4 linked regions of the Arabidopsis thaliana genome follow. The protein of the gene in region 1 interacts with the protein of each later gene in a biochemical or structural test. Each region holds a gene or a part of one and is shown on either strand. Other genes may lie near its edges. The genes, in order: PTAC12, PIL1, PIL5 and PIF3.

Region 1 (7,409 bases):
TTTTTGTAGGTTGTAGCATTACTTGCAACTGCTGTAGAACATCTTGTTACCGGTGAAACCATGGAGATAACTAGTTCAACCGAGCAGCGTTATAGGTATAATCTTCTTTTCTGGTCGATAAAAACAAGACTACTCAAGTCTTCTATGCTACTAATGTATGTTTGAGAATCAAAACAAGAGTCGATTTTATCATCAAAAACCCGATCGCGGCTTATATAGGAACTGGAATTCATATAATAGTGATCGGTAATGCAAATATGATTTTTTTCATGATTGCAGTATGGACTACTACATGCAGAAGACATATTATAAGACAGCATCGCTAATCTCTAACAGCTGCAAAGCTGTTGCCGTTCTCACTGGACAAACAGCAGAAGTTGCCGTGTTAGCTTTTGAGTATGGGAGGAATCTGGTTCGTTGTCTTCTTCTGAAAACTTTGGCTCCATTGCAACTAATTTTCTTACAGTACTTTGATGAACTTCTAATTTTTCAGGGTTTAGCATTCCAATTAATAGACGACATTCTTGATTTCACGGGCACATCTGCCTCTCTCGGAAAGGGATCGTTGTCAGATATTCGCCATGGAGTCATAACAGCCCCAATCCTCTTTGCCATGGAAGAGTTTCCTCAACTACGCGAAGTTGTTGATCAAGTTGAAAAAGATCCTAGGAATGTTGACATTGTAAGTTTGAAAGAAACAAATCTCCTAAAATCTATAATATGTTTTCATAGTCTCTAATACTATTATATCACACAGGCTTTAGAGTATCTTGGGAAGAGCAAGGGAATACAGAGGGCAAGAGAATTAGCCATGGAACATGCGAATCTAGCAGCAGCTGCAATCGGGTCTCTACCTGAAACAGACAATGAAGATGTCAAAAGATCGAGGCGGGCACTTATTGACTTGACCCATAGAGTCATCACCAGAAACAAGTGAGATTAAGTAATGTTTCTCTCTATACACCAAAACATTCCTCATTTCATTTGTAGGATTTTGTTGGTCCAATTCGTTTCACGAAACAATAATGTTTGACAAGCTGTGGCTTTGGTTTTAAACTACACATGACAAAAAAAGGAGACAGATACTAATTGTGAAATCATATTCCTTGCGAATTCGGTTTAGGTCTTGTTTTAACAGATTAAACCGTCTCAAGCTGAACTAAACAGGATGCAGTACAGTTAACAAATCACTTTCAAAACTCTATAAATTCAATCAAAAATATTTGAATTCCATATGATACAAATCACTTGCAAAACTCAAATCCACTCCTAAATGATATCATCCCTTCCAAGTATACAAGCAAAACCAGTGAAGAAAAAGTTGCCCTAAATAACGTCTTTACATAAGAAATACGAAAACCAGGTTTAAGGATCAGTCTCCTCTTCAAAGTCCATGAGAAAATCAGTTAAGTTCTCAGCATCATCCACGGCCTCGTCTAGAGACATCCGACCTTCCTTCTTTGGTTTAGGCTGTTTAAGAAACCAAGCTCATAACATCAACACACCACACAAGACATATAATGTGGCTCAAGTTGAATGTGACTTTACCTTGGCGGTGCGAAGCTCAGGGGTTTCCTTCAAGACACTCCAGTTCCTCGGCACTTTCTCGTCGTCTTTTTCTACATCTGCATCGTCTTCGTCGTCCTGTCAAAAAATGTCCGGAGATGTTTCAGAGCATGATACATCAAGAAACAATAAAGAAGAAGAGGATCTGATGTAATCGATGATACTCACATCGTTTTCACCAATATCAACAGCTTGTGCCATTGCATCATCCATGTCAGGTACCTGCATTCATACAATTTATCGAACATATCAAGCGAAACCCTGAAATCTCACAATCAGAGTTGTGTCAAAGGAAATGAAAGATTGGTCACTTTACCTCGAGCTGCTCGGTTTTCTCTTTTGTCAGTAGTGCTTCATGCATCTCTCTTGAGATGACTTTGCCATTCTGATCAAATCAGAAACAAAGAAAACAATCAGACCAAGAAAGAAAAAGAATAGAACTTTGAGCAAAGCAGACTAACCTCCTTTAGATAAGAGAGCATATTTGGTGTAGGCTCATGAAAATCAGGTCCTCTGAAATCCATAACCGCATTAGGATCTTGAATGTAGTTAATTGTCGGGTAAACTGGATCCCCGCCCCAAACTGCAAGAAACCGAGAATGTTAGTCGAACGATTGAATATCCATGATGAGTTAGTTCAAACTTCAACGGTCAAAGTTTCTTACTTTGCTTAATTTGATCCTCCCTCATCCGCATTGCCAATGGATCTCTCTTGATCCTAATATCAGTTCCCATCATTATCCGGTATTCTCTATCTGTTTGATGAGAGAACATCTCAATCAGTTGTGTGTTTTCATCTTCACCTGTCTCTTCAAAATGTTTTTGTACAGCTTCTCTTGACGTGTCTCTCTTCCATGCTTTAACCCATTCAGAATAAAAAGCCATTGGACCTTCTTTCGCTAATCTCTCTCGCTCAGCTTGCAGCCTGAGAGAAAGAAAACTCGAAAGAAAATCCTAATAAAACAGATTTTCACTTGAAAGTTCGTTAGATCAATATACCTCTCTTCCTTGAAAAGATGCCTTCTTGCTCTATAAAGAGAAGTTTCTGTGAGTGTTGGTTCTTCCCCATAGAGCTTCACTTGTCCTGTTTCTGCCATTGCCTTGAGGAAAACCTGCATCAACAACAAAAAAAAATACCATAATGGATCAAACATTGGGGAAACACACACATGTTTAAACCTGAAATCATTGTGATGACTAACCGTTTCAACATCAGGACGTCTTCTTTGCCATCTTGACCATTGTTCTTTCTCCGGTTTCCTCCAGTTCCACCACGATTCATCGCTCGTGAGTGTCTTTTCAATTTGTTTCTTTTTCGTAGGATCAATGAAAGGATGTGGCCTTCCAAGCTTTTTGTCTAATTCAAAACCAGTCTCCTCTTCTTCTCTCTCAAATTCATTCTTATAGGTAACAAACCCATCCGAGGAATCATTTTCCTCTTCTTCAGAGCTATCCTCAGAATCGGATACTTCGTCATTCGTTTCAACAGTCACATTCTCCTCAGTAGCTTTCCTATTCTTCTTTCTCCTACTTCCAGGATTCTTTCCATAGGAAGGAAAACTCGAAGACTCACCAGCTGGTTGAGGAGCTCTAGCAGCTCTAACCCGGCTCGAAGTTCCTTCAGGCCAATAATCCTCACCTGGAATACTAGCCCGAGCCCCGGACGCTGGCTCAAGCTTCCCAGAAGTTGAATCCATATAACTATGGTAAGGATGCCTCTCAACAGTCACATACTCAAATCCTTCTTCACTCTTCTTAGACCCTTCACTTACATCACCATCTCCATCCTCTTTCTTGCATTTGATACAATGTCGCAAAGACCGATCCCTAGAAGTAATCCCAGCATGCAATGTCTTGAGTGGAAACCCACATTTAACCCGTCTCTACATACATAAACAAACTTTTACCAGTTTGACATCTTGAAACAAGCTAAAATGTTCACTATCTCTAAATTAGATAAGTTTGGATCAGAACAAGAAACTTGATGTGTAAGAACCAACCTGCACAATACAATTACTGGACTTTCCACTGTCTGTGCATACTTGACCTCGGTAGAGCCAGGTGGTGGTTGATATTGACGCCATTTACACTCTTTCTACTTCTCACTGTATCATTTACAAAAACAACCGATTCAATTATGCTCAGAATCAGTTTCAAACTAGTACAAAACATAAAACCCAGATAAGAAGAACCTGATACAACAAATTGTCCATAACAAGGTACGATTTTTTTGGGCATTTTTACAAACGCTTCACACTCGAAGTTGAGGAGAAAAAGACTAACCTTTTTGTTTTACCAGGAGATTATGTAGGAAGAGGGTTTTCTATCATGGAGCTTGATTTTGAAGGGGGTTTTGGCTTCAAAAGGTTTTCACTTGTCAGTTTTTGGGTTTATCCATTTATCTCCTCCTGCGTTTATTAACATATTCTGGTGACGGCAAAATCTCTAGATTTCACGACGCGCCGGTATTAGAACGGGAATTTGTGAAGAGAAAGTATATGGGCTTGGTATATCTAACTAAGGCCCAGTATTAATGGATCTTTGAGAAATTGTGAGCTTGAAGTCTCTCTTGGGCTTTAACAAACACTTCCAAGAAGAACAAAACATCTTTTTCTTTTTTGGCAAAACATCTTCTAAACAGTTTATTATATTGATATACTTTCAAATAAAATCAATATGTGATTTGATCATTTAAAACATGCCTTAACACAAAAGATATATGGAAGAATGTTTATCGAAGTATGCATGTGAACACATCTTAGTTTTGTTAATAGATTTGCAATTTACAATTGCGATTATACAATTTTTAGATAGTTCTCTCCGTAATGGATTAATATAGTGGACTAGAGGAACATGTTACACAAAAAACATCAATCATTGTACCTTTAAGTGAATAAATACTTGTATATGATTTGTACTTCAGCGTGTGTACGTACTTGTCTAAGACACTATAGAAGGAAGAAGGTTTGGACCCAACGTGAATGGCAATTGGCTAATGTGCTAATATGGTCTGAACCAATATTAAATGGGTCTGACCAGACACATCATAGACATTACGGTATCTATCACAGGCCTATTTTAACCTAATATCCTACACTTTTTATACATTAATACTACTATTGCTTACTTCAAACTTGCTAAACGACGATAATATTTATTTCTAGGGACCAAACATATAATTGTTTTTTTGGTTTTCTGAAATTTGGCAGACGTAGACCACGTAAGACTATACCACAAAGGTCTGACTAGGCACAAGTTTCGCTGACCCGCACGCGCCTAACGTCACCTTTTGAACTATTCGTGCAACGAGCGAGACTATCCATGCGGCGTCGTTTTTTCCCAACTTCCTCTTCCTCTCGTATTGTCAAACGGTCAAACCTATACTCCTACATAAGAAAAAAAGAATCAGCAGCATATAATAGCAACATTTGAAACTTCATAAGCATATATAAAGCTAGAGATGCAAACTAAAGACAAACAATATAGCAGTTTCGAATTATATAATAGATACAATAAATAAAAAAATAAAAAAAGAATAACAACCTTTTATCAAAAATAATACTGTAATAATAATAATTTGGATACTATTACTATCTTTTCGAGTTTGCTATTTTACATAAAACAATATGTCAGGGAAAAGAATCTCAAAGCACTAAAAAAAACTGTAATTTGATGCTTTTGGTGACCGTTAATAAATGAGTGGCTAATTGGAAATCTCGTCAAACTTTTTCTGCGACATAATTCACTTCCACAAGTAATTGGAACAGAATCTCACAAGTGGCGACGTGTACTTACCTCCACATGGCACCTATCCGTTCGCTAAAAATATACTCCATGTATAGATGTGTGTAATATTACATGTGTATAAAAGCGACGACGAGGATAATCACCTCGATGAGTATTTGAGTAGATGTGGACTTGTCATGAACATTTTAGCAGAGAGACAATGCATGCATACAAACAGAGAACTAACAAATTTCTTTAGTTTTTTACCATTCGTAACTTAAAAAGTTTATTCTTTATTTACTTGTAATACACTTTTGTTAAATGTTACATAGAATAATCTCCGATTTATACATTATTTGATCAGTGATCATAGTTACTAGTATCTATTAGTTTATGGTATGTTTTGCCACTGTTGTTCAACAATGTTGCAATTCTTACAAAATTCTTGAATCAACATTCTTTTTAACAATCAACTATCGGTTAAAAATATGAACTAATAGTATATGAGCTGCTGGTATGTTTTTCTACCAAAAATCAGATATTTTTCTTTGTTTATTGCATTATGATTAATCTAAACACTAACTAAAATTAGTAGTATTATTACTGATGAAATAAAACAAAGGAGTGGTGGGGCAGAGGGAGGACAAGAACGGGACAGTGGCATAAATCAGACTGGTGAAGCTGTCCCTTGTGTTGTTGGGTACATCCCATGTGTTGTCACACTTCTCTTCTTTCTATTATAGTATTAATCAAGATCTAACAAATCATGTTATTTTATGTGTTTTCAATTATTAATCACAATTATTCTATACTCCATTCATTTCAATTGTTCACCGTCACAAGCTTGGTCCGATGATACAAAAAATTGTTATTTAATGTACATATATATAGATATACCCGATCACCTACTATGTTCCCTTGTTTTTGTGTGGTAATGAGACAAATATCAAGTTTAAAGCTAGACCAGAGATAGATATCAACAAGCATTTGTGTGAAAGGATATTTTTCATTAATTTAGTAACGTGTGGGCAGTTTTCTATATACAATTCCGTGCTAGTCACTGAACAAGTGTAGCTAACAATGTTCTAAGTTGCTCTACCAACCTCGAGCAACTATGTGTACTCTTGCTTATAACACGTCATTACAAGCTATTCAATCGAAATGTCTTGAGGGTGATGAAACTGACGAAATTCGACTGAATAGAGAATGAAAATATCTTGAGGAAGAGCTTCGGTCATAATAGCATCATGTTAGTTGACATTACAAACATAAATAGCTACCTTGAGAAAACTCTTCTTCATATCATCACGTACGCTGTGAGTGACAATTGATATTTGTGTTTAGTAAGTGTATGAGAAACAAAATTTGTATGTGTGGCATGTTATCGCAGAAAAACTCGGTGATGTGAATCTTTAATCTTGTGAAAAAGTAGAAACGATTGCAGTTATATCAAGTTACAAGTAACATTAGCCATACGTATGCGTCTATATCAATGTTGGTTCGAGTCACTTCGTTTTGCTCCTCAGCTTTCCATGAAATAAAAGAATTCCCAAAATAATTACATAAACTATAAACGGTTCTCTTGGACTTTTGATAATTTGTCTACTTTGTACAACGTTTAGCATCTTGGCCAAAAAATACATAAATAACGTTAACTATTGCGTTGTGAATTAATGGATATTTTTTGAAATTATGTCGAAATTTATAATGTGAAAGTGGTTCAATATATAAATCAATTAAGGAAAAGAGAAAACATAATTCAGTTATCCAATTATTGTATTTTGAAAAGAGTAGTATTTATTAATTGCAAGGGAAGTTTCTTGGGTCCACGTAAGCGAGTGAGAAAGGAATAATGACAAGTTACAAACCTCGGTTTCTGCGAAAGAAACACCTCTCCCAATAAGAAGACTTTGACTTTCGACTTAAATGTTTATTTTCTTTTTCAAAGTGTAAACAGTAAAATCATCATTATCTACTTATTTTTAAGCTCATTAGTAAAATTAATTATAATTAACAACACAAGACGTGACGGTAATCTTGTGTGTGGTCCATGTTTACACATTTTAGGAGAGACAAAACTTCTATGCATTGTCCAAAACAATTTGTATTGAATTGTC
Region 2 (6,959 bases), 4.7 Mb from region 1:
ACAATTAGTGCCAAGAAAATTACGAGCCCCATGGAAAAGTTTTTTTTTCCTTATGTTTGTGTGTGTGTATTGTTGTTCTTGGTTAGGTGTTTTAAGTTCTACACTATATAATGACATGCACATATAACTTTGTAAAATAAGTCTATGGCCAGTGAATGAAACACTATCTAAACACTACATGAAGTTAGCACAAACACGTCTGTTTATTTTCAATTTGAGAACAAACAAAAAGTAATTAATAAAGTAAAATGTGTCTTATATATGGTATGATGATAGAGTAGATTCTAAATATGCCTATAGCACATATTTGTTACGTAATAAGACAATTATAGAAAGTATATAAAAAATGAGTGGATAAAAGAAAAATATAAAATTACTCATGAAAGCTAAGTAATCCTTTTGGGAGAATAATTTAGTTTTAGCATTCATTGTATCTTAGGTTTACTGTTTCTGTATCTTTAAAATAATCCGGCATGGACAATGAATCAATGATTTGTTGTTAACATATCATTGTGAACAAAATACTTGATGAACTAATTGTTTGGAGAGTTAATTTGGTATTTGAATTCAAACGAAAATGTTATAGAAATAGAAGTACAACATTGTGAAAATAAATAAACAAAGATGAGAGATATTTATCAACCAACGGTGCAATGTGATGGATCGTGACATCGAATCTTAAAATGAAACACTTTTTCGTTTGTTATCTACTTTTGCATGGTTTCATATTTAAAGGAAGTGGTTGAAATTTTATTTCTATACTAAAAGAATTGGTTTAGACTTAACTATCCACTTTCTTTAAGTATCATGTTAACTCATGAAATAAGAGTCATCTATTTTTAAAAGAGAATCTTCACATTGATTTCAAGTTTTCAACGCACCTGACGCTAAAATATCAGAAATTCAATGTGTGAGTCTCATCTTCATCACACTATTGCACTCCCTTGTTTTCGTGTTTGAAAAAGCCCAATTAATTTTTTAATGTTTGAAAAAAGAAAGAATAAAGTAGATATTAGTCCACTAAAAAGCCCATCAAGCCCAAGTTTTGTAGTACTTTACTCAATCTCATCATTGAGATTGTTCCTTAATCCCAAAAACATGGCAAAATTCGTTTCAAATTACGATTTAGGTCAAATGAGTTGTCTTCATCTTAGTTGGGTTTGCGTTAAAATCGGTTTATCGTAATTGAACACTCATCATCATCCATCATTATGCAATTGCACGTCCTCTACTTATAACTTTGTTATAGAGTCTATGATAACTTATATTTGTTATATTTTACTTTGTACATCCACTTTGAAAATAGTTGGAATTAAGTTCAAATCGTTCCAAGAATCAAGGCCCAAAAGCCCATAGACTAACAACACAGAGTAGACGATCATTTTTTTTTGCTTAAAGTTAGTTAGTTGGAGAAAACATCAACTTTCTACAAATCATTAGTTTGGCGAGCGATAATAACTAAAACCGTTGCTTCCTCTATATTGCATTGCATCTTCTAAGTTTGAGGCGGACGCAGACTTTGGGAATTGAGTAAAAGAAGTAGCCTGAGTCTGAGAAACACACGAAGGCACCACGAATGGCTGAGAGCAATTTTCCAATGGAGAAAAGATAGGAGTGTTTGGAATTAGTCCACTTGGGTGATTAAGAAAGCTTAGCATTTGTGGTGGTGCATTGTTCATCCCCGGAAAACCGGTTGCTTGAACATTCATAGGCAGGAATTGCGGTATTGATGTTGGTGTTGCTGCTGCACCCATATGCATTCCTAGACCCATGGGAGAGTAATGACCCATTGGCAACATCGTAGGTGGTCTTATTAATCCATTTCCCATACTCATCATCTGTAAATAATTATTAGAGCATGTTAATTAAGAATCTTATATATATGTAAAAAAATTTGTAGTAAAATAAATAAGGAATAAACTTTTGATTGTTTATTGATTAGTGTTTAATTACGTTTATAATTTGTTTTGGTTTCTCTTATGAAACTAGTTTCTAGTGACTTTATCAAGAATCATTCGTAAAGGTAAAAGCCAAACGCAATAATATTTGATAACAAAAACACTTTACAAAGTATATTTTAATGTTAAAAAACAAATTTATATGTAAATATAAACACAAGTCTGTGTTTAAATAATTAACACCTGAATCATTTTATTATCTCTCAATGAAATTTTATTGAATTGGTGTATTATTTTGAATACCTGAACTTGAAGTTGAAGGGTCCGCATATATTTGATAGCCTCATCCAACAATGAAGCCTTATCATCCTATCATCAACAATTACAGATATTCAGAAATCTCCACAAAGAGAAAATTAATTAACTCTCTAAGACTAAGTAAACAATGTAATGTGATTTAAGTTAATCTCAAACCTTGTAACAATTTGGTAGTAGGTCCTGCAAAGCACGCATTTTCTTGTTGAATTCATCTCTTCGTTTCTGTTAACAAATCCTTAATTAGCATTAATTTTCATACATTATTTTTTTTCTACTAACTAAGGTGAAATTTTCATACATATAAACTCACTCTTTCATATAACTTATGGACTTCTGTGCTTCGTTTTCTTTTAGTCACCGGCTTTCTTGTTCTCGCATGAACTTGTGTCTTCGCATCATCTGATTCATCATCTGAATTCTGCATAAGCAATAAGAAAAAGACAATTAATGATCTACCATGTGAAAGAACTAAGACAAGCAGCTAATTAATTTCTCTTACATTACTTAAATAGGTTGATTCTTCTTCTTCAATATCTCCATACTTCCTCTTTAAAGAACAACAACTTAGATCTCTCGAAGTTCCTCGAGAAAACTTCGATGAAGAAGCAAAATACAATTCCGTGGATCTACCAACAGCTGCAGATTGCTCATCAGGAGGAGCTGTAGTAACTTCAACATTCTTTGGACCTTTAGCAGAAACATCAATTAATGTTGATGATTCAACACATTTGTTGCTTTTCGAAACATTTCTCTCAAATTCGATTTTGGAGGACTTTAGCTTCTTCTTATTGTTGTTCATTTGTTCATTGGTTTCTTTATCTTGTTGTGGCTTAGACTGACTCACCGGAACAACTTGTGTGTCTCCAAGAATCTTGATGTTTTTCTTGAAACCCTCGCTGTACTCGGTCTCATACAAATCCAGGAGAGATTGCCTACGTTGCTTTTGAAAAGAACCGTTGTTCTTTGGTCTTCGAATCTTTGCAAGAATCTGCCCATTTTCACACACCAGCTCCATATAATCTTCATCTTTTAATCTGCAAGAAAAGAGTCACGTATAAATAACCTATTAACAAAAAAAAAATAGTCAGGAGAAGACAAAATTGTTTCAAGCACCGACAGAACCATAAGCGCCCATTATTTCAAAACCACGCATGTGTATATGTTTATAGAAGTCGCAAAAAGTGTAGATGAAACCATAATAAACTTACTTTGGTTTAATGTTTGATGATGGAGAAATCATGTTTGGTTCAGATGATGATGATGCTAAGGGTTTTGCTTCCATTGAAGTAAACTGAACAAAGCTTTCTTTACTTGTCTTTTTTTTTTTCCGGTTTTTGTGAATTGTAGAATCAGAGAGATTCGGACTTCACACTTTGGTTTTCTTTCTTGGGGTTAATGAAGAGCAGCATATATATATATATATAGTCGGTTGTATATATGTATATTCGCTTATTTCATTTATGATTGATTGATATGGAGGATTTGTTTTGGTCCACAACTCATATATTTATCCTTGAATCGTGATTATGACACAGTATGGAGAATTAGTACAAATTATTACCTTACAAACTTTGGTCGACTTCAAATGTTACATTTCAGATTTATAAAATTTACAGTTGCTTTTTTTTAATACAAAACGTATATATTTGTTTGTATATGTGAAATGAGTTTTCGCACGTTTTATAGAAAAAATATAATCATAAATTCATAATAACATAGACTATACTATATATACGCGATAAAGAGTAGTATAAGTATTCATGTTAATGTGTAAATCTTTCATTTTAAAACAAAAATATTGATGGAATAAATGAAAGAAGCAAGATAATGTATGGGCGATAGTGAAAGACAAAGAAATAGAGAGAGAGACATTCTTATGACCGACTTCTCTACTCTCCACCGCTCCATTTTTCTCTGCTTTCGGAAAAAGAATAGAAAAATTAAATAAAAATAAAGTCAAATCTACGATTGCAATTCCTTTTTTTTTTTTTTGTCTTCATCTAAAATGAGAAAATATTAAGCATGATCATTTTTTTAACGTCTGATCCGTGAATTTTACTTGAGCACAGTCAGATATATATATACATATATTTATATATGGTTTTGTGTATTTCCTTTTTATTTAAAAGGTCAGGAAAACACAATGTAGTAAATAGGAAAACACAAAAAAAATCACTCCCGATGATGCTCCAACAATAATGCAACTAGTATTGATTTTTTCGTCATGCAAATTCCTATAAGAACGTGTTCTTAGAAAGTTTAGGAATAAATTCCAAACTATGCAATGACAAAGCGTCCAACTGAACTTACTAAATAATCTCCAGTATTGGAACACACTATTTCTATATTATGTTCGTGTGTTATTTTTTTTATTGAAGATAAAAGTATTATCAATAAGTAATACGCATGTTCAATTGTTCACAATTAAAAAAGAAAGGTCAAAACTTAGGTAGACCGAAAAAAAATCAATAATGTTGTTATCAAAAATAAAACAAAACACTAGTAAAACTGTAGTGAGTGACATGCGAGAGAGACGGGCACAAAAGGCCCACGTGAGCGGAAAGAACCTTCACGCCATTATTAAGACATATATGGATGGGCCCTTTCTTAAAGGCTTTAGTTTTCTCTTTAAATGGGACCCACAATTAGGCTTTTTTTGGCCAAGTTCACGTGCACTTCACGTGAATGCCGCGTGATTCATCCACCCCTTTGTGTTATTTTGTCTCCCTCCCTTCTTTCTTGTTTGTTTCTAACGACTGCTACTATCTTGTCGTCTTCTCCATTTTTACCCTCTCGACACATTCTAAATTCTTTTACCGACCGTAAAAAAAGAATCCTCTGTGATTTGAGATCTCTCTATTTACAAACAAAATTATCTCTACCATGTTTTTATCATCACAGTAAAATTGTTGGGTCCAACATTTTATTTTCTGTTTCATTCGATTGATATCGAATTGTGACCATTCTTTGTTCAGTTTGGTTTTGATATTCAATATGAAATACATCTCTGTTAAAGTAAAATATTGTAATTAAAATTCACATCAACGTCTGCAAAATATTCTGGTTTTTAAAAGAAAAATGTTTGGATTGGTTTTGCTTCGATATATATCAAGATATCAATAACCTAATTAAAAGTTGTTGGTTTAATAAAAAATATCTGCAGTTGCTGGCAAAAATAAATTAAAAAGAAACCTTCAAACTGCTATATAAAATAAGGCTCTATGATATAAGTAGTTTTGTAGTGGTTCAGTGAACAATAAACTATTCTATACGAATACGAATCAATGACAATGAGTCAAAGCATCATCTACTATATCTTCTTTATTCGCCTGAACTCATGAGACCACTAAACCAAAGGCTGGTTTTGCTTGAGAGGTTTTTCTTTCCTGGTTAACACAGTTCGTCTAGTTTATGTTTTAAAATGGAGAATAACGACGTACGTGTGGTTGATTGATTCTGTGAGACTCAGTGTCAATCATCCCTCAAACATTCTGCGACAATCATCTTCAGCTGCAGCATCTTTCCTCTCGCAGACTGTAAACCAATACGTCATTTTTAAGTTGTGCTTTTGAATTCATGATTTAACCATTTTTAGAATCTGACTCTTAAGAAGCAGAACAATGACTTGCCTTGTTTACAGAATCGATTCTTTTGGTCGCATCGTCCAGTTTTGTCTCGATGCCTCCTTCAAAATGTGCAATGAGTTTTTGGTGTGATGTTCCTGTCATAGAGAGATAAAAAGTTATCAAGTGAGTTTAGGAAATACTTGTCCTCCTGCTATTATTATATTAAAACTATCTTGCCATGAAGAATCTAACTTTGATAACATCATATGTTTCAAGTATTTCTAGTGTTAGAATTCGTTGTAGTAAAAGCAGGAATTACAGAAGTTAACATACTTTGCTTCTTTATGCTTCCTTTCAGCTCTGACTGGTTTGCTTCAAGCTCTTCGATAGTACTCTTAAAATCTTCAAGATGATGGCTGACATCGTCCTTGAACTTTTCATGGATCATTCTCATTTTCTCTTCTTGCTCTGTTAGACGATTAGATATTATCAGTGAACACAATAGATCAGAACGGATCTTGCATATTTTTATTCAATGAGTGGAAATATGGAGACATTTCCAGACTCTCATGTTCCACAACAATACACAGCTCAATTTTTTATTATTCTCCACATAGGAATGAATTGAGCATTTAGCTTTGTCTTGATATAACTATGTTAAATGCAAGTTTCATGTCTATGTTAGAGCCGAAAGTATAGTTAGGTGTGTGTGTGTGTCTAATCAAAGAGACATGAAAGCACAAGAATGAAGCAAGATGGTGAGTACTTCAAGACTAAATGCAATCTAAAGAGTAATACTTGATATCAAATTTCCGATCTACTACCTTGAATCAGGATTAAACTGCAAAGATAGTATATTTGAACTTCTAAGCTTTCTTAATGTTCATGACTGTGAATTCGAGTACAGTATTAACTATTAAGATATAATGTGTTGATGTACCTTGTAATCTTGTTTCGGCATGCTTTCTCTTAGTTTTGGCTAGGTTACTTGTCTTTCCCCTGTACCATAATTAACAAGATCTTTGATTGATAATTTAAAAGAAAGAATGCAGAATAAATTATACAAACATACGCTTCTGTTATGATATGGGACTTGATATTCTCCAACTCCAGATGTATCTCCTCGGAGACTGATGCTATAATTTCTGAGGACTTCTTTTCAGCTGCAGATTTCAGT
Region 3 (7,317 bases), 5.9 Mb from region 1:
CAACCCAAAATTATTTTTGTGTAATCGAATAAAGAATAAGCAAAACTTTATAAATTTACGTTTTGATTTGGTTTCATGAACCAAAACCAAGAATTAAAAATGTTTTCATTTGGTTTCAATTTCCATAAAACCTATATATAAAAAAAAAAAAAAAAAAAAACTCTAATTTCAATCGCTACTTCTAAAAGAGTTACTGCTTTTGGTTTAAGCAGGATAATATTACAGGAAACTGGTGGTTTTTGATAAAGAACGAGCCAATTGGGTATTGGCCAAAATCATTGTTTCATGTTCAAGGTTTAGCTTATGGAGCAAGTCGTGTGTTTTGGGGAGGAGAAGTTTTCAGTGCACTGAGACAGAGTACAAGCCCACTCATGGGAAGTGGACATTTCCCAAAAGAAGGTTTCAAAAAGGCAGCTTTTGTGAACGGCCTTAAAGTGATAGATCGTGAAATAGAAAAAATTAGAAGTCCACCAGTTAAAGATTTAAGATTATTCGCAAACAGCCCAAAATGTTATAAAGTCGAAACAAAAACAGGGGTCGGTGAGGAGTGGTCTAGTGCAATTTTCTATGGAGGACCAGGAGGATGCACCATTACTTAACAAATCTTTAAGGTCATTTACGTATAAGTATACCTTCTATTTTGATGTGTTAAGGAAATATATAGTAAAATAACTTTGACAAAAATAAGGAAATAGTAATACTAATATATAAGTTTTCAAATACTATAAATGTTAAACTTCTTTTTACATCTTCTTTATTAAGCAAATACAAAATTGATTTAACGGTTTGATACATATATATGCATGTTTGTCAAGTCTTATGGTCATGGAGATAGCAAGTCTTAACGGTTTGAGAAATTTGTTTGCCTTTTCTTTTAGCTTTATATTTTCGATATTATGGTCATGGACTGGAGATACCATATTAGTTGACATCACTACGTTTTTAGATGAAGAGATCCTATGAAAGACACTACAAAATGGGCAATGCTTGGCCAATTACATCATTAATTTTCTTGCTTTTGTTTGCTGGCTTTTGTCCGTCTATTTACATATTTTGTGTCACATTGTGAGCTTAGTTGCAAGGACTAAGATTTGTTTGTGCATTTGTATCGATAAGTCTTTGGGACTTGGGAGTGGAACATTTGTAAATATTCACTGTTAAGCTTAATCAAGAATTGCTTTCGTCAAAAGTAATAATAATAGACGAGAAAAGAATAATGATCGGGTATGTATATGAACCTAACTTTCTCATATTTATTCTTTGCACTAAGCCTCTGCAACCTCTATGTATTGATTCCTAGATCTCTGGATCATTACATGTACAGCTCTCTAAGTATACAACCTGAGAAGAGAGGACAAAACAAACCAAAGAAAAACAAGAAACAGATGGCGATATATATACATGTTAGGTCTCTCTGTCAATTTCTCAAAATTGTGTTTGCTTGTGAAAACAGATCTTCTTGTTGCTCCATGGACATTATTAACCTGTTGTGTGGTTTCCGTGATCCTCAGATTCCTTACTACTACTCACCCTGCTCGAACTTGGATACGATGTTGCTTGATTCTAAAATAAGAAAGATAAGAACTTGTGACTTGTAAGCAGAGGAACTAGCCATTTTTGGGAAAAAGATGACTGTTTAGTACCTGAAACTGAGGTGGTTGGGTCGGGTCGGATAAGAAATTGTGTTTGCTTGTGAAAACAGATCTTCTTGTTGCTCCATGGACATTATTAACCTGTTGTGTGGTTTCCGTGATCCTCAGATTCCTTACTACTACTCACCCTGCTCGAACTTGGGTACGATGTTGCTTGATTCTAAAATAAGAAAGATAAGAACTTGTGACTTGTAAGCAGAGGAACTAGTCATTTTTGGGAAAGAGATGACTGTTTAGTACCTGAAACTGAGGTGGTTGGGTCGGGTGGAGACCGCGGAACTGCTGATATGGATCCGTGTAACCAGCTGGATACTGAGGCTGGCCCGAGGTTGGATCATACTGCTGGTTCGGTACAAAGACTCTTGACGGGTCAGAAGCATGAACAGGGTATTGCGGTCCTGACCCGGCCATGTGAGTTTGTGTAGGCAAAGGTCTTTGAGCGGCTAACATGTTGGGGAATGGCATGAAGGAAGGAGGAGGAATAGGCTGGTTCATACCCATACCCATCGCCATATGAGGCATGTACTGTTGCATGCCCGGATACATCATTGGCATCATTCCACATCCCATTGACATCATCTGCATTAATCTCAGTCATATAAACTGGAGTTTTCATGGTAAAGTGTACATTTTCAAGAACTTAAAAAGGGCTTTCAAGACTTAGAATCCTTTAAAGAAAATGAACCTGTATTTGAAGCTGAAGAGATTTCATGTACTCAATAGCTTCATCTAGCATCGAAGCTTTATCTGACTGAGGATCAAAGAAACAACAATCAGTAACAAGGTTAACGTATACAATAACTTGAAGAGAAAGAAAAAAGATCGTCGAAGACCTTGTTGCAGCGAGGTATAAGTTCTTGCAAAGCTTTCATTCTCTCATTGATCCTATCTCTCCGTTTCTGTTACCAAATCCGCGACATTCTTCAGATTCATTGCGAAATCTTTATCGAAAAAGATTACAAAAACATAAGAAAAAACACAAACGTACTCTTTCAGAGAGATTATGAACTTCAGCAGCACGAGATCTCTTGGTAGATGTTGTTGATACACGTGCTTGTTTTGTTTCCTGCACCACAAGAAAACACCAAAAAAGTTAATTAAAAATGCGCTGAAAACTACAAAGTCAGACTAAAATGCGCCGTATTTGACTTGCGCACGATAGCTAACAACGACTCTGTTCTGTGTTTTTTTGACTCACCTCGCTACGGGATTCAGTTTCATCAGTAGTGGTGGCTTCTCTCTCTTTTCGTTTCCTATCATCGACGTTCGTCTTCTCCGGTTCGATTTCGCTCTTTGACACTACAGATGACGATGTACCGGTTATCTCGATCGCCGGCGCCGTCATAGCCACTGCTTTTCCCTTCCGATTATACGCGCCGCCTCCAGCTACGGCGGAACTGTCAGTACCATCCGTCCGCCGTGTTAAACCGGATTCACTCGCCGCCGCCGACGGTGTTGCGCTAGGACTTACCTGCGTAGATTCTCTCACAACCGCCTTCGAAAGCAACGGTCCAGATTCACCACCTCTACCGTTATTAAAATCCCCTCTCAGCCTCGAGAAATTCATGAAGTTCCTCACCGGCGGCCTCGACTCATTCGTCGAAGATACTGGCGGTCTCGCGGCGGTGACTTGACTCACCGTCGCGGTAGCCGTCGCAGTAGGTGCGGCGGAGAAGAGAAGATCTGAGCAGAAATCATCGTCACGGAGAGGATAATGAAGCCAAGAAGTCATTTCATCTTCTTGAATAAAAAGATTCTGATCTGAAGAAGGTTGCTGCTGAGGATCCATAGAAGGAAGAAGCTTCGGTGGAGAAGAAGAAGGTTTCTTGGTGTGAAGTCTCTGGTTTTGAACAACAACTTGACCGTTCTGCCATAAAAGCTCCATAAGATCATCATCTTCACCCCTAAAGTTTTCAATACTATAAATACTCAGATCTTGAACTAATCAAACTTTTTTTTTTTTTTAATATAAGTTTGAATAAAAGAACTTACATAGTAGTAATGGATTTTCTAGGAAGATGATTCAAAGAAGAATTATGGTTGTTGACATAATCATCATCGGTATCGAAGTCAGGGACAAAATGATGCATATCTCTCTCTCTACAAAGATGATGATAATGGTAAGTATTAAAATAACAAACAGTTATCTTCTTCTTCTGGTTTTATAACCAAAAGAAAAACCCCAGAAAGATCCAAAAGAGTAGCACTAGTGAGTAAGTGTACTACACACAGAGATTACTAATCAGTGAAGAAACATATATACTACCCAGACTATATCTAACCTAGAGAATTGAGGTTGGTACTGGATAGGCTTCTCAAAAAAAAAAATATATCACCTTTATTTCTGGGGAACTAGTATTGGATGACTGGATCTTTTTTTTTTTTTTTTTGTGCTAAAGGATGACTGAATCTTATTCTGAATTTTCGTGCTTTAAGAATGTGATAAGCTTCTTAAGGGTTTTTGTCTTTTTCTTATATGTCTCTCTTTGGAGTTTGTTTTTGCCTCTTCCGTGACTCTAGCATGTATCGCATTTACTATTGTGTCAACTAACTTTAACAGTGAATTCTCTATTTTATTTATGTGTGTATGTGTCTGAATAGAAACTTGTGCCCATTTTTTAACCTCTGAATAAAAAACCAAGTTGAACATAAAAACAAAATGTCTGAGATCATTTGTAGCTGACGGAGATAAAATAATCAGCCTCATTGTTTCTCATCCGTACTATAAATTGTTTTCATGGCATTATCATCAAAAAAAAATTATTTTATAAACTTTATCCAATGATCCGGTTAATTTTGGTAAAAATATATTTAAGTATTACAAAATAAATTTATATTCAAGGATCATCACACATTTATTCCGAGTTTAGAATATTAACTGATTAACACTTAAACATAACTGAATCGCATGTTACCAGATTACCATTTAACTTGTCTGGACCAAACCTAGACATCCTACATGAATATAATTTTCTTTTGATAGAAGATCGAATACCGGATGAAATGGTATTTTAGCAATAAGACTTGAAAATGTGGTATTTTGAGAAATGTCTCAAAAAAATATGACTGACACGAAAATAATATTTTGTTTTAAGGGAGCCTCGAATTCTAGAGGAGTATTGTAGCAAAATATCACACTTTCAAGTTGTGTTGTCAAAATACCACCAAAAGTTTTGTTTTCCAAAAATATTATACTTCAATTTTGATTTTCAAGAGTTCATCAGAATTAAAAAAATTAAGTTTGAATTGACCATTTTAATTTTAAGATATTGTTTTTAGGGGTTAGGGTTTAGTGTTTAAAGTTTAGAGTTTAATTTTGAATGTTGGAAGTTAAATTTAAGTTTTATGTTATTTTAAGAAACCAAACATTAAGTGGTATTTTTAAAGAAATAAACAAAAACTTAAGTATCATATTTAAAAATTGTCCTTTTTTATATCGCTAAATTATAGATTTAAGACTACATATATCTTGCAGGAAATATTCCTTTAGTCTTGTGGTTAAATCCATTTGATTCCGCTTTTTCCACCAGAGTTTGACTCCACTAAATCGTGTTATCTTGCATAATAGATATTGGCTATAGAATAGACCATGTCAATCCAAAGATGTTAAAAACAAAAGACTACAACATATGCAAACATGATATTAAAGACTTAAGTGAGTCTCCTCTTCTATAAACAGAAAAGTCGAATGCTACATAAAGTGTTAATTTATAATCATTTATAGTAGTCAAGTTAGTGAACAAAGTGTTAATTTCTTCTATAATACTTCTTTTGTTTCTATTTTGTTCTAGTTTAAGATTTTGGTACATTGATTAAGATCATTTAGTTTCTGTTTTCTTAAATTTTAAAAATATGTTTAATTACATATTTTAAAATAATTTAACCAATAAAAAGTTGCAGAATTTCAAGAATCAAAAATAATAAAATAATAATAAATTTTGCATTGAAAACAACAAATAAAATGAAACAACTTATTTTTTTTTATAATCATTTTACCTTTTGATAAAGAGCATTTATCATTGATATGGGAACACGCACATATATATATATATATACACATTAATATGTATATACATATTTTTATATAATTCCAAGTAGGGAAGAAAGAAACAGAGAATCAGATATGGACTCACATTGGTGGGGACAATATTAAGACAGAAATTGGGTGTTTTTTTTATTGATAATCTCAATGATTTATGAGACAGGGTAATATGTTTATTTTTGTTGCTAAACCACCCTCTTGCATGATCTATCAAACTTAATTATTTATTCTTTTATTCAGATTTAGACATAATCTATAAACATCAATTTTTTCAAGCTAAATTTTGTTGCTAAATCACCCTCTTGCTGTTGTACATTTTTTTTGTCCGCTAAAATGATTTGTACCTATCTAAAATATATTTTGATTTACCATCAAAGTTACTTTAAATTAAACAAAACGCAAAATAGAAAAAAATATTATCTCCTGATAAAAAAGTCGTAAAAAATTTTGATTGAATAATAATGATTTGCGTTTTTGTTCTTTAGAGTAAAATATAATATTTTATGTTAGATGCAAATGACAAGACAAAAACTGAAATTAAAGCCTGATTGTGGTTATATTTAAACAAAATGCTAAGTAATAATATTCCGAAAATTATCATATATATCTCGTCTTATAGACTACATATGCTTATGCAATTGTATGTAGCTTTTTTTCTTTACCAAATTATGATTTTGTAGGAAGTAGGAACTGAAACAATGAGACATTAAGAGAGAACATATTTAATGGGAGTCTCTTAATTACTAATAAAATATAAAAAAAAATAAGAGAGAAAAGTGAGAAATTCTAAAATTTTTGTCTCTTATTTGAATAACTCACAAAAAACTCTTGAGACATTATGTGTCTATAATTGTCTATCTTTTTCATCAAAAAAAAATTGATAATTTAATTTATGAAAATATTTAATTTATATTATTATTTAGAAACTCATTTTGGTTTCTCACCGTCTGAAGTACGTACTCTCGGTGACTGTGTTAATATTTGAATAATTAAATTGTTGATTAGTGATAATAACATAAATTCTTAGAAAGTTATTGTCTACTTGATGATCTTTACCAGCTTTGGAATAAAATATCAAAAAGGTCTTTATTAGATTAATAGAATAACATTTAATTTGTCATCAGATTTAGATACTAAATTAGCATGTTGGGTTTAAGGAAACGATAACCATAACAAGAAAACCTTAATCATTTGCATAAGACAATGATTTTCAGGTAATCGCACGCTAATAATACTTTATTAGGTCTAATATTAGTCTTTATGCAATGCTAAATGATCTGTAATCACTCTCTATATCCGTGTGAAATTTAGATAAATAAATAAATAGTGATTTAATAAATGCAGTATACTATATACATAATTAAATTTGGATAATAATATGTTGACGTCATTAGTACAAGTACAAACCAGTAGGTTATAAGATCTGAACATATGTATATAACTTATGTTTTAAGAAAATATATAGATTTTAACAGTTTTTTAAATGACTAATCGAATTCACAATTCACAAGATTGGCATTTAGTCTACTACAATTTTAACGTTGGAATTTTCATGAAACACTTAAACTCATAAATCATAAAACACATGGAATCGCATATAAGAACAGAATTATCGGCAAAAAA
Region 4 (8,208 bases), on another chromosome or scaffold:
ATTAAATTAAATTTATTAAAACTTAATAAATTTAAAAGTTTTTTTTGTTTGGAGACGCACTATTTACATACAAAATATCCGTTTCTATTTTTTGAGTACTTTTAGGGCCTGAAACTTTTTATCCAAACTGACCTAAACCCAACTGGACGCGACCCGAACCGAATATTTAGAATTATTCTATTAAATAGTAAATCATATACCCATTAATCCCAAACCCGAACGGGTTCTACATGAACTCGAATGGGTTACTCATATGTCCAGCCCTATTCTCTGATTTAATTATCTAAAAAATCCCAATAAACATATGTTTTGGTGAGTACTTTTTATTCAAAAAAATTTACATCCTCTTCTGCCAAAATCATTTCATAAGACATCCCAAAATCTTTGGAATAATGATTCCATGAATGAAGAATCCTAATTTGAATATACCAAGAGGTTTTGAAAGGTTTTAAGTTTTTGATAGGTGTGTATGTGAGAAGGTACATCCATCGTGATGGTAATCTGCTTATTTATAATTTTAACTTGCATTATACAGCAGATAGGCTTATATTTTAGTTAAACTAAAAACTTTTATTGTAAAATTGATTATAAATATATGATATTATTTTATTTGATTTTAAATGTATAGAAACTACGAGTTGTATATGTTTTGTTGATATTATTTATATTGTTTAGTGTTTAAAATTATATACTTGTATTTTGATTGTTAATTTTAGAGTTTCACATGTAGTATACCATCTTGTATTAATATTGATTTAAACCCGTCAATTGTAGGATTTTTCAGCTTGTATTAAAAATTGAATCACATCATACACATTAAAAAATCTAATATGTTATTAATTATTGTAGTATATAAGATTATAAATTTTAAAATAATATGTATGAAATTGAATATAAATATTCAAATTATGACACAGTACTCAGTAATTTTTTTTCTTAAATCTACTTTTGACCCGTTATAGTATTTTTTTCATGTACTGAACAATTTATATTCGTTTTTAAAAATTCAAATTGTGGCATATGCGAAAAAACTCTAATTATTTTTTTATAACGATGATATTATTTTTTCGCAAAAATAGAATCATATAAAGATGAGAGGTGAATTATAATAATTAATAAAAAATTAATATGATAATATTGATATCAAATCTAATTTGTTGATTTTAATTGGTTACTTTTTTGGAAATTAATAATGTATTTCGTTTTTGAGTTAAATTTAATTAATTAAATTAGTATTTGACTTTTTAATTTTTAAAGAAATGAATTAATTTACTCTTTAAAATTTTATTTCTAATGGCATACGTATGTAATTACTTACAAAAAATAAGGTTACATTTTAAAAATTAATATGATAATTTAGATATCAAATCTAATTTGTTGATTTTAATTGGTTACTTTTCTGGAAATTAATAATGTATTTCGTTTTTGAGTTAAATTTAATTAATTAAATTAGTATTTGACTCTTTAATTTTTAAAGAAATGAATTAATTTACTCTTTAAAATTTTATTTCTAATGGCATACCTATATAATTACTTACAAAAAAGAAGATTATATTTCAAATGTACTTCCCAAATAATATAGTAGGATCACTTCCATTCCGAGTTTTCTTCTTTCTTTGATATATATATCTACTTATTTATTTACTCGGTTTGATTTTATAATAAATTTGTTTATAATTATTTTCTGAACAAGAGATGGCCATAAAATACAGTGATGAAATCAATAATGGTCCATGCAAATGTACTCAAATTATCCACTTGGAAAGTTTATAGTATACAATGGGTTGTTACGTATTTTAGAATCTAATTTGCATGGCGATTTAATTGACATTTCATCATCAACCGAGCTATAACGAGAGATAAACCAGAAGATGCAACGTTCGTGAACAAACTCGACTGATATTCTAGATGGTTTTATTTATTTTTTACTTATAGAAAGGAACAAATTAGATTTAAAGATAATATGCTCTAATCTAAGAGTTTGGAACCACTATACCACATACTATATCCCATGATTAAAAAAAATCTCAATTATTATAGCGCAAATGATTGGTTTTCATCAGTTAATAGAACTTGCTGAGTGAGTCCCCAAATTTGAGGATGATTAGTAATTTAGTATCGTAAAGACTAAAAAAGACTTAAGAAAAATAGTAATGATTAGAGAAGTCAAACCTTTAATAATTAAGATAGATAAAGAGAGACAAGGTTGCTCAACCCCACTTGGAGTGTGATGCTTTTTTGGCAGTGTTCCTTTATGATAACACATCTCTTCACACACAACTTTAGTGTATCACAGGCCCATGTCACTTTAAGATAAGATAACATATTCTAGTATATGATTATTTTCATATTTGTAAGTGTATTAAATTATTCATAGACACACCATGAATTAATTGTAATAATGCGAAGGACCTGTATCATGTAACAGAGACAGACGAAGTGTGCAGAGGTCGGTGAGAAGCAATTTGGTCACCATGCTCCAACTCTCTTCTCTAGGTCCCTTTTGCTTTAATTTTCTCGTTTAATAACAATATCTTATGAAAGCAGTTACCATATCAATTGAAGGATTGTATAATACCGTAATTTATTTATATATAGTACATCTAATTAAACATTAATTATTTCTACTAATAGCCTAAAACCACTACTAATACAACAACTAGTACTTGTTTACGATAATTATTAAACTTGTCTCGATACCTACAACATGCCCAAAAAAGTAATCAATACTTTGTTTAATCACAAAGATCTCAGTGAGATGGTTCTATAGATAGTATTTCTGATTTGTTAGTATATTAGAGAATTGACCATCTATTAAAATAAGAGAATGAACACTATTTGATAAAACAATACATACGCAATTATCATTGTCTTTAATTTTTATCAAAGTAATCATACGATCGACTATTTGTATGCAAAAATTCATCATTTTATTTGCAAAAAAAAACAAACAAACATGGTAGAATTGTATTTGGTGTGTGTTTTAACAAATTGTTGCAATGTTTAGTGCAACATATATAATCCACTATATATAATCATTGACATAATTAATATTTGATTATATGAAGCAATTTCTCTTTAATTATGTGTTTATAAATATAGGGAGAAAAGAAAAATAGAGAGAAAGGTAAAGAGTAGAGCTAATGATTCGGGCGACGCTAAAAGGTTGAATGTTCGAGAGAAACGGAGTCTCAGAGACTGTGAAAACAAAAAATCAAAATCCTCAGTTACAGACGATTTGGTCCCCTCTCTTCTCTCTCTGCGTCCGTCTTGTGCGTCGATTTGTCTCCATCTCCTTCTCTCTCCGCCTACTTTCTCAGGACTACTCCAATTCGCCGACTTTTTCTCCTCTGTTCTCTGCATTTGGATTGATGCCACTTTAATACTTTGAGGTTCTCACTCTCTCTTTCTCTCTTCGCTGACTTCGATTGCTTCAGTACCCTTTTTCTCAGGTCAGCTACGATGATAGCTTTATTCAGACAAGAAGATCAAAGTTTTGATCTTTTTGTTTTGGTTTTCTTAAGAGATGGTTAATTAGGTCTTGAGTGCGCTGTTTTGAATCGTTCTTCAGTGTGATTAAACAATTGGTTTTGATTTGACTAATCATGTTGCCATTAAACTAAGTGAAAATCTCTGCTTTTTTTATATTGCATATTGATGATTGAGACATTGATTTCTTTTCTATTTCTTTATTTCCCAGTTTCTAATTTGGGAACTGAAAAGTTTTCTAATTTAAGCATTACAAAGTGTACAATTTTTGTTTCTGGCAAGTTTTTCTTGGCCTAATTCGTCTATTTTATGAATTCACCTTTTTAGGATCAAGACTTCGTAAAAGATTGTTTCTGTAAAACGCAACACCATGCCTCTGTTTGAGCTTTTCAGGCTCACCAAAGCTAAGCTTGAATCTGCTCAAGACAGGAACCCTTCTCCGTGAGTCCCATTCACTTGTCTCTCTTTAAGTCTGCCTTGTTTCAAGTTCATCAAATTCATGTGTTTTTTTGTTGTGTGTGAAAAATAACAGACCTGTAGATGAAGTTGTGGAGCTGGTGTGGGAAAATGGTCAGATATCAACTCAAAGTCAGTCAAGTAGATCGAGGAACATTCCTCCACCACAAGCAAACTCTTCTAGAGCTAGAGAGATTGGAAATGGCTCAAAGACGACTATGGTGGACGAGATCCCTATGTCAGTGCCATCACTAATGACGGGTTTGAGTCAAGACGATGACTTTGTTCCATGGTTGAATCATCATCCCTCCCTTGATGGATATTGCTCTGATTTCTTGCGTGATGTGTCGTCTCCTGTTACTGTCAACGAGCAAGAGAGTGATATGGCGGTAAACCAAACTGCTTTCCCGTTGTTTCAGAGAAGAAAGGATGGCAATGAATCAGCTCCTGCTGCTTCTTCGTCGCAGTATAACGGTTTCCAATCGCATTCTCTGTATGGAAGTGATAGAGCTAGAGATCTTCCTAGCCAACAAACCAATCCGGATCGGTTTACTCAGACGCAGGAACCACTAATTACTAGTAACAAGCCTAGTTTGGTCAACTTTTCACATTTCTTACGCCCTGCAACTTTTGCGAAGACTACTAATAATAACCTTCATGACACTAAAGAAAAGAGTCCTCAAAGCCCGCCAAATGTGTTTCAGACCAGAGTTCTTGGAGCTAAAGACTCTGAAGATAAGGTTCTTAACGAGTCTGTTGCTTCTGCTACGCCTAAAGATAACCAAAAGGCTTGCCTAATATCAGAGGACTCATGTAGAAAAGACCAAGAGAGTGAAAAAGCAGTTGTATGTTCTTCTGTTGGCTCGGGTAATAGTCTCGATGGCCCATCCGAAAGTCCTTCACTTTCTTTAAAGAGAAAGCATTCGAATATTCAAGACATTGACTGTCATAGTGAAGTGAGTTAAACTCATGTCATTTTATGCACATTACAATTTCGTTTCTTTGTTGTTTTCTTCAGTTTTTTTATTGAATATTGTTGAGCAGGATGTGGAAGAAGAATCAGGAGATGGAAGAAAGGAAGCAGGTCCATCTCGAACGGGTTTGGGTTCAAAGAGAAGCCGCTCTGCAGAAGTGCATAATCTGTCTGAAAGGGTGAGTGAGTGAAGCCCCTAAAGGGTTTTTGTCCATTCTCAAACTCACAAAAGATTGCTATATTTGGTAACTTACTGTCCTCAATTTTCAGAGACGGCGTGATAGGATCAACGAGAAGATGCGTGCCCTGCAAGAACTCATTCCAAACTGTAACAAGGTCAGCTTCTTCTCCTTTACAAATACCATTCATGATTCATTTTTGTTTGAAAGATAAGGAGCAATGCCAAATAAACTAAAACTTGCATCTTAGAACGAATTGCTAAAGGTTTTTGATTGGTTTCCGTATTTATTAAACCGGAAAAACAATTGAAACCATATTGTAAGCAAGATTGTTCAAGCCGAGAATTTTCGTATTTAATCAGCTTTTGTAACATTTATATGGTTTAAAGGTGGACAAAGCTTCGATGCTAGATGAAGCCATCGAGTATCTCAAGTCACTCCAACTTCAAGTGCAGGTAACACTCTCATTACTCTCTAGAGTCGATAAAAATCGTGCAAACTAATAATCTAAACACAATAATCGCCAACAGATCATGTCAATGGCGTCTGGTTACTATCTGCCACCGGCGGTTATGTTCCCACCGGGTATGGGGCATTACCCGGCAGCAGCTGCTGCAATGGCAATGGGTATGGGAATGCCTTATGCAATGGGCTTGCCTGATTTGAGCCGTGGTGGTTCATCGGTTAACCACGGACCACAGTTCCAAGTCTCGGGGATGCAACAACAACCAGTGGCGATGGGTATTCCACGTGTCTCTGGTGGTGGTATCTTTGCCGGTTCTTCGACGATTGGCAATGGCTCGACTAGAGATTTATCTGGTTCTAAAGATCAAACAACGACGAATAACAACAGTAACTTGAAACCAATAAAGAGAAAACAGGGGTCTTCTGATCAGTTTTGTGGATCGTCGTGACATAAATACAAACTTATGAACTGATGTATTGTTTATTTGTAGCATTCAAACAAATCTATTTTATAATCCTAAACAAAATTAATTTGTGTTCGTTATAACAGTGAAGAGCTTTGTGCTTATTGGTGGGTTCTGTTCTGTTTCTTGTTTTGAATTAAAAAATGTTTTTAATATTTTCAAAGGTTTTGTTCCCTTTTTAATGTAGCGTGGGGTTCACTATATAGATGGACCTGGTTAAACAAGCGTGATGGGCTTCTCAGCCCATTTTGTTAAATAACTTAATTATGACATTTTCTTTCGATTTCCTTTTTTTTCTTTTTTTGGGCCAGGACTATTGAACTAGTGAAGCTGAATATATACCCACGCGAAAATTGAAATTATTGGAAGTTTTTTTTTTTTTTTTTTTTTGTTGGAACCTATAGGGTGTATATAAGTTACATGATACACGGTGTTTGAGCGCATCACTTAGCTTGATATGTAGTTTATGTTATACGTAGTAAGTGATTCGCTCACGCATGACTGTTACGTTTTCTTTAACAAAAAGAAAGGGAATCGATGGTTAGGGTTAGGTCAACGATCGGAGGAGTTGAGCTAGAGCCTAGAGAACCATAGTTTGGAAGAGGGCAAATGTGAGCTCCTGATTTGTTTCTCGGATGCTGGAAGCTATATATATGTCCATGATTGTATCGATTGGGAGTTTTGTCGAAAGTAAAAAATTTCTTCCTCAATTCTTTAGGAAGTTTGTTACTTTGTTTTATGTTCACAAAACGTTGTCAACTTCTCGTAGATGCTTGTTTCTATAGTTAGAGATGTTTTATATACCCAGCCTGCCAGCCAGCGAGCAGACTTTTATTAATAGTTTCCCCTATATATAGGCTATATAGCTTTAGCGTAAACTTAAGTTCTGTGTGGTAAATCGCGTCTTCACAAACATTTTTGCACCAAAGACTTCTTAAAAGTAATATATAGAAGAGAAATTTAGATGATTCTGTCCTCGTTTAAATTGATGAGACTTATTAAACTTAAGTAATGCATAATAAATAAAACATTAAAACCTTTAGTACTGAAAAAGGTAGTCTATATAGTGGAAAGCAGAGAAGAACAAAAAAGGGTTTATACTTCCATTTAGATTTTGTATCTTCTAATGGAGGTGGATTAGACAGCTCTAACTAATTACGAAAGACAACAAGCAGTAGAAAATGGACACGTCGAACACCTAGGGAGACAAATTAATGAATTACACGAGGTTTAGATCGAAACTTGAAATAGAAGAAAATGGTGTTAATGTGGCAAAGCAAAAGAAAAGTTAAACATCATTTTGCTTTTGGCTACATTAATATATCAAGATTACCTATGATTATGTCTCTTCTTCTCTCCTTTCTTACCAGTTAGATTGGGCCATATTAGAGAGAAATTCAACCATACAAGCCCTCTTTTCTCACTTTTAATCAAATCTGTAATATTATTTGCCTTCTTTTCTAAGTTTGATATTTTTCTCGACCACAAAATCACAAAACACAAATCAAATGATCAGTTTTGGAAAAGCAAATGAGGCAAGCAATTAGTAAAAATAGCATAACCACTTGGGTGTTTAATTTTTTTCCGTATAATCCAAAAGTATTTTTTCAGTAGAACTACAACATAAAATAAAGGACTTAATTAACAAGTATATAATCATCAAAATCGTATTATAAAACCATTTATTTTATTTGAAAAACTAACTCAATCCACAATAACTCAACTAATTAGAAAAGCATCAGCCAAAAAAATGATTAAAAAATATAATAAAAAAATGATTATCTTTCAATTTGGGGGCATAATATATTTATCAGAAAACATTGCTTTTTTATTAACGAAAGGAATATTTAGAAGAAACTTTAAAATATAGAAAAAGATAACAGAAAATAATGAAAAGGGACCTTAGTACAAAGTGCATGCATGTGCTAATGTTTCCTTGATGATGGGATTAGTGCTAAACGGGCCAATTAAGATGGTATACAATAATACAATTAAGGTCACTTCTCATTGGGCCCTCTATCTCTTTCTCCGTGACCTCATCCTCTTAATCTAAAATGACTAAATGTTCTATACTTTTTAATAAGTCCCTTTCTCCTTGTCTAATTAATAAAATTCTTTTTAACACAAAAAAAAGCCGAAAAATCTTCCATCAACATCGTTGTAGAGCGTTATTAAAAATTGT

What was found.
Region 2: the proteins of PTAC12 (region 1) and PIL1 form a complex in vitro, tested with the Arabidopsis thaliana proteins (one study listed by BioGRID).
Region 3: the proteins of PTAC12 (region 1) and PIL5 form a complex in vitro, tested with the Arabidopsis thaliana proteins (one study listed by BioGRID).
Region 4: the proteins of PTAC12 (region 1) and PIF3 form a complex in vitro, tested with the Arabidopsis thaliana proteins (one study listed by BioGRID).

The regions. Positions count from the first base shown.
Region 1 is NC_003071.7:14,580,696-14,588,104, forward strand, and holds PTAC12 (plastid transcriptionally active 12), read right to left. Parts: upstream 4,103-7,409; 5' UTR 3,850-4,102; intron 3,672-3,849; 5' UTR 3,651-3,671; coding exon 3,567-3,650; intron 3,450-3,566; coding exon 2,769-3,449; intron 2,679-2,768; coding exon 2,566-2,678; intron 2,492-2,565; coding exon 2,232-2,491; intron 2,150-2,231; coding exon 2,028-2,149; intron 1,952-2,027; coding exon 1,883-1,951; intron 1,789-1,882; coding exon 1,735-1,788; intron 1,645-1,734; coding exon 1,549-1,644; intron 1,471-1,548; coding exon 1,366-1,470; 3' UTR 1,140-1,365; downstream 1-1,139. Other genes in the region: GPS1 (geranyl diphosphate synthase 1), read left to right, coding at 10-95, 280-412, 494-682, 758-937. UniProt on the Arabidopsis thaliana protein: Involved in plastid gene expression. Acidic transcriptional coactivator necessary for the transactivation of many PIFs target genes (class B genes), particularly during the regulation of hypocotyl growth.
Region 2 is NC_003071.7:19,294,181-19,301,139, forward strand, and holds PIL1 (phytochrome interacting factor 3-like 1), read right to left. Parts: upstream 3,679-6,959; 5' UTR 3,499-3,678; coding exon 3,425-3,498; intron 3,358-3,424; exon of another isoform or gene 3,342-3,357; coding exon of another isoform or gene 3,334-3,341; exon of another isoform or gene 3,251-3,333; coding exon 2,716-3,250; intron 2,635-2,715; coding exon 2,527-2,634; intron 2,439-2,526; coding exon 2,373-2,438; intron 2,268-2,372; coding exon 2,202-2,267; intron 1,839-2,201; coding exon 1,437-1,838; 3' UTR 1,251-1,436; downstream 1-1,250. Other genes in the region: CYP709B1 (cytochrome P450, family 709, subfamily B, polypeptide 1), read right to left, coding at 1-32; ASY3 (asynaptic protein), read right to left, coding at 5,688-5,750, 5,846-5,937, 6,116-6,250, 6,723-6,781, 6,855-6,959. UniProt on the Arabidopsis thaliana protein: Transcription factor. Involved in responses to transient and long-term shade. Required for the light-mediated inhibition of hypocotyl elongation. Necessary for rapid light-induced expression of the photomorphogenesis- and circadian-related gene APRR9.
Region 3 is NC_003071.7:8,702,797-8,710,113, forward strand, and holds PIL5 (phytochrome interacting factor 3-like 5), read right to left. Parts: upstream 4,209-7,317; 5' UTR 3,989-4,208; exon of another isoform or gene 3,753-3,988; 5' UTR 3,743-3,752; coding exon 3,645-3,742; intron 3,557-3,644; coding exon 2,851-3,556; intron 2,719-2,850; coding exon 2,641-2,718; intron 2,552-2,640; coding exon 2,486-2,551; intron 2,404-2,485; coding exon 2,338-2,403; coding exon of another isoform or gene 2,323-2,337; intron 2,232-2,322; coding exon 1,893-2,231; intron 1,813-1,892; coding exon 1,729-1,812; 3' UTR 1,644-1,728; intron 1,564-1,643; coding exon of another isoform or gene 1,480-1,563; 3' UTR 1,228-1,479; downstream 1-1,227. Other genes in the region: AT2G20170 (NEP-interacting protein, putative (DUF239)), read left to right, coding at 213-599. UniProt on the Arabidopsis thaliana protein: Transcription activator. Negatively regulates chlorophyll biosynthesis and seed germination in the dark, and lightinduced degradation of PIF1 relieves this negative regulation to promote photomorphogenesis.
Region 4 is NC_003070.9:3,073,357-3,081,564, forward strand, and holds PIF3 (phytochrome interacting factor 3), read left to right. Parts: upstream 1-2,411; 5' UTR 2,412-2,496; intron 2,497-3,044; exon of another isoform or gene 3,045-3,102; 5' UTR 3,103-3,859; coding exon 3,860-3,930; intron 3,931-4,021; coding exon 4,022-4,901; intron 4,902-4,989; coding exon 4,990-5,097; intron 5,098-5,188; coding exon 5,189-5,254; intron 5,255-5,486; coding exon 5,487-5,552; intron 5,553-5,627; coding exon 5,628-6,011; 3' UTR 6,012-6,298; downstream 6,299-8,208.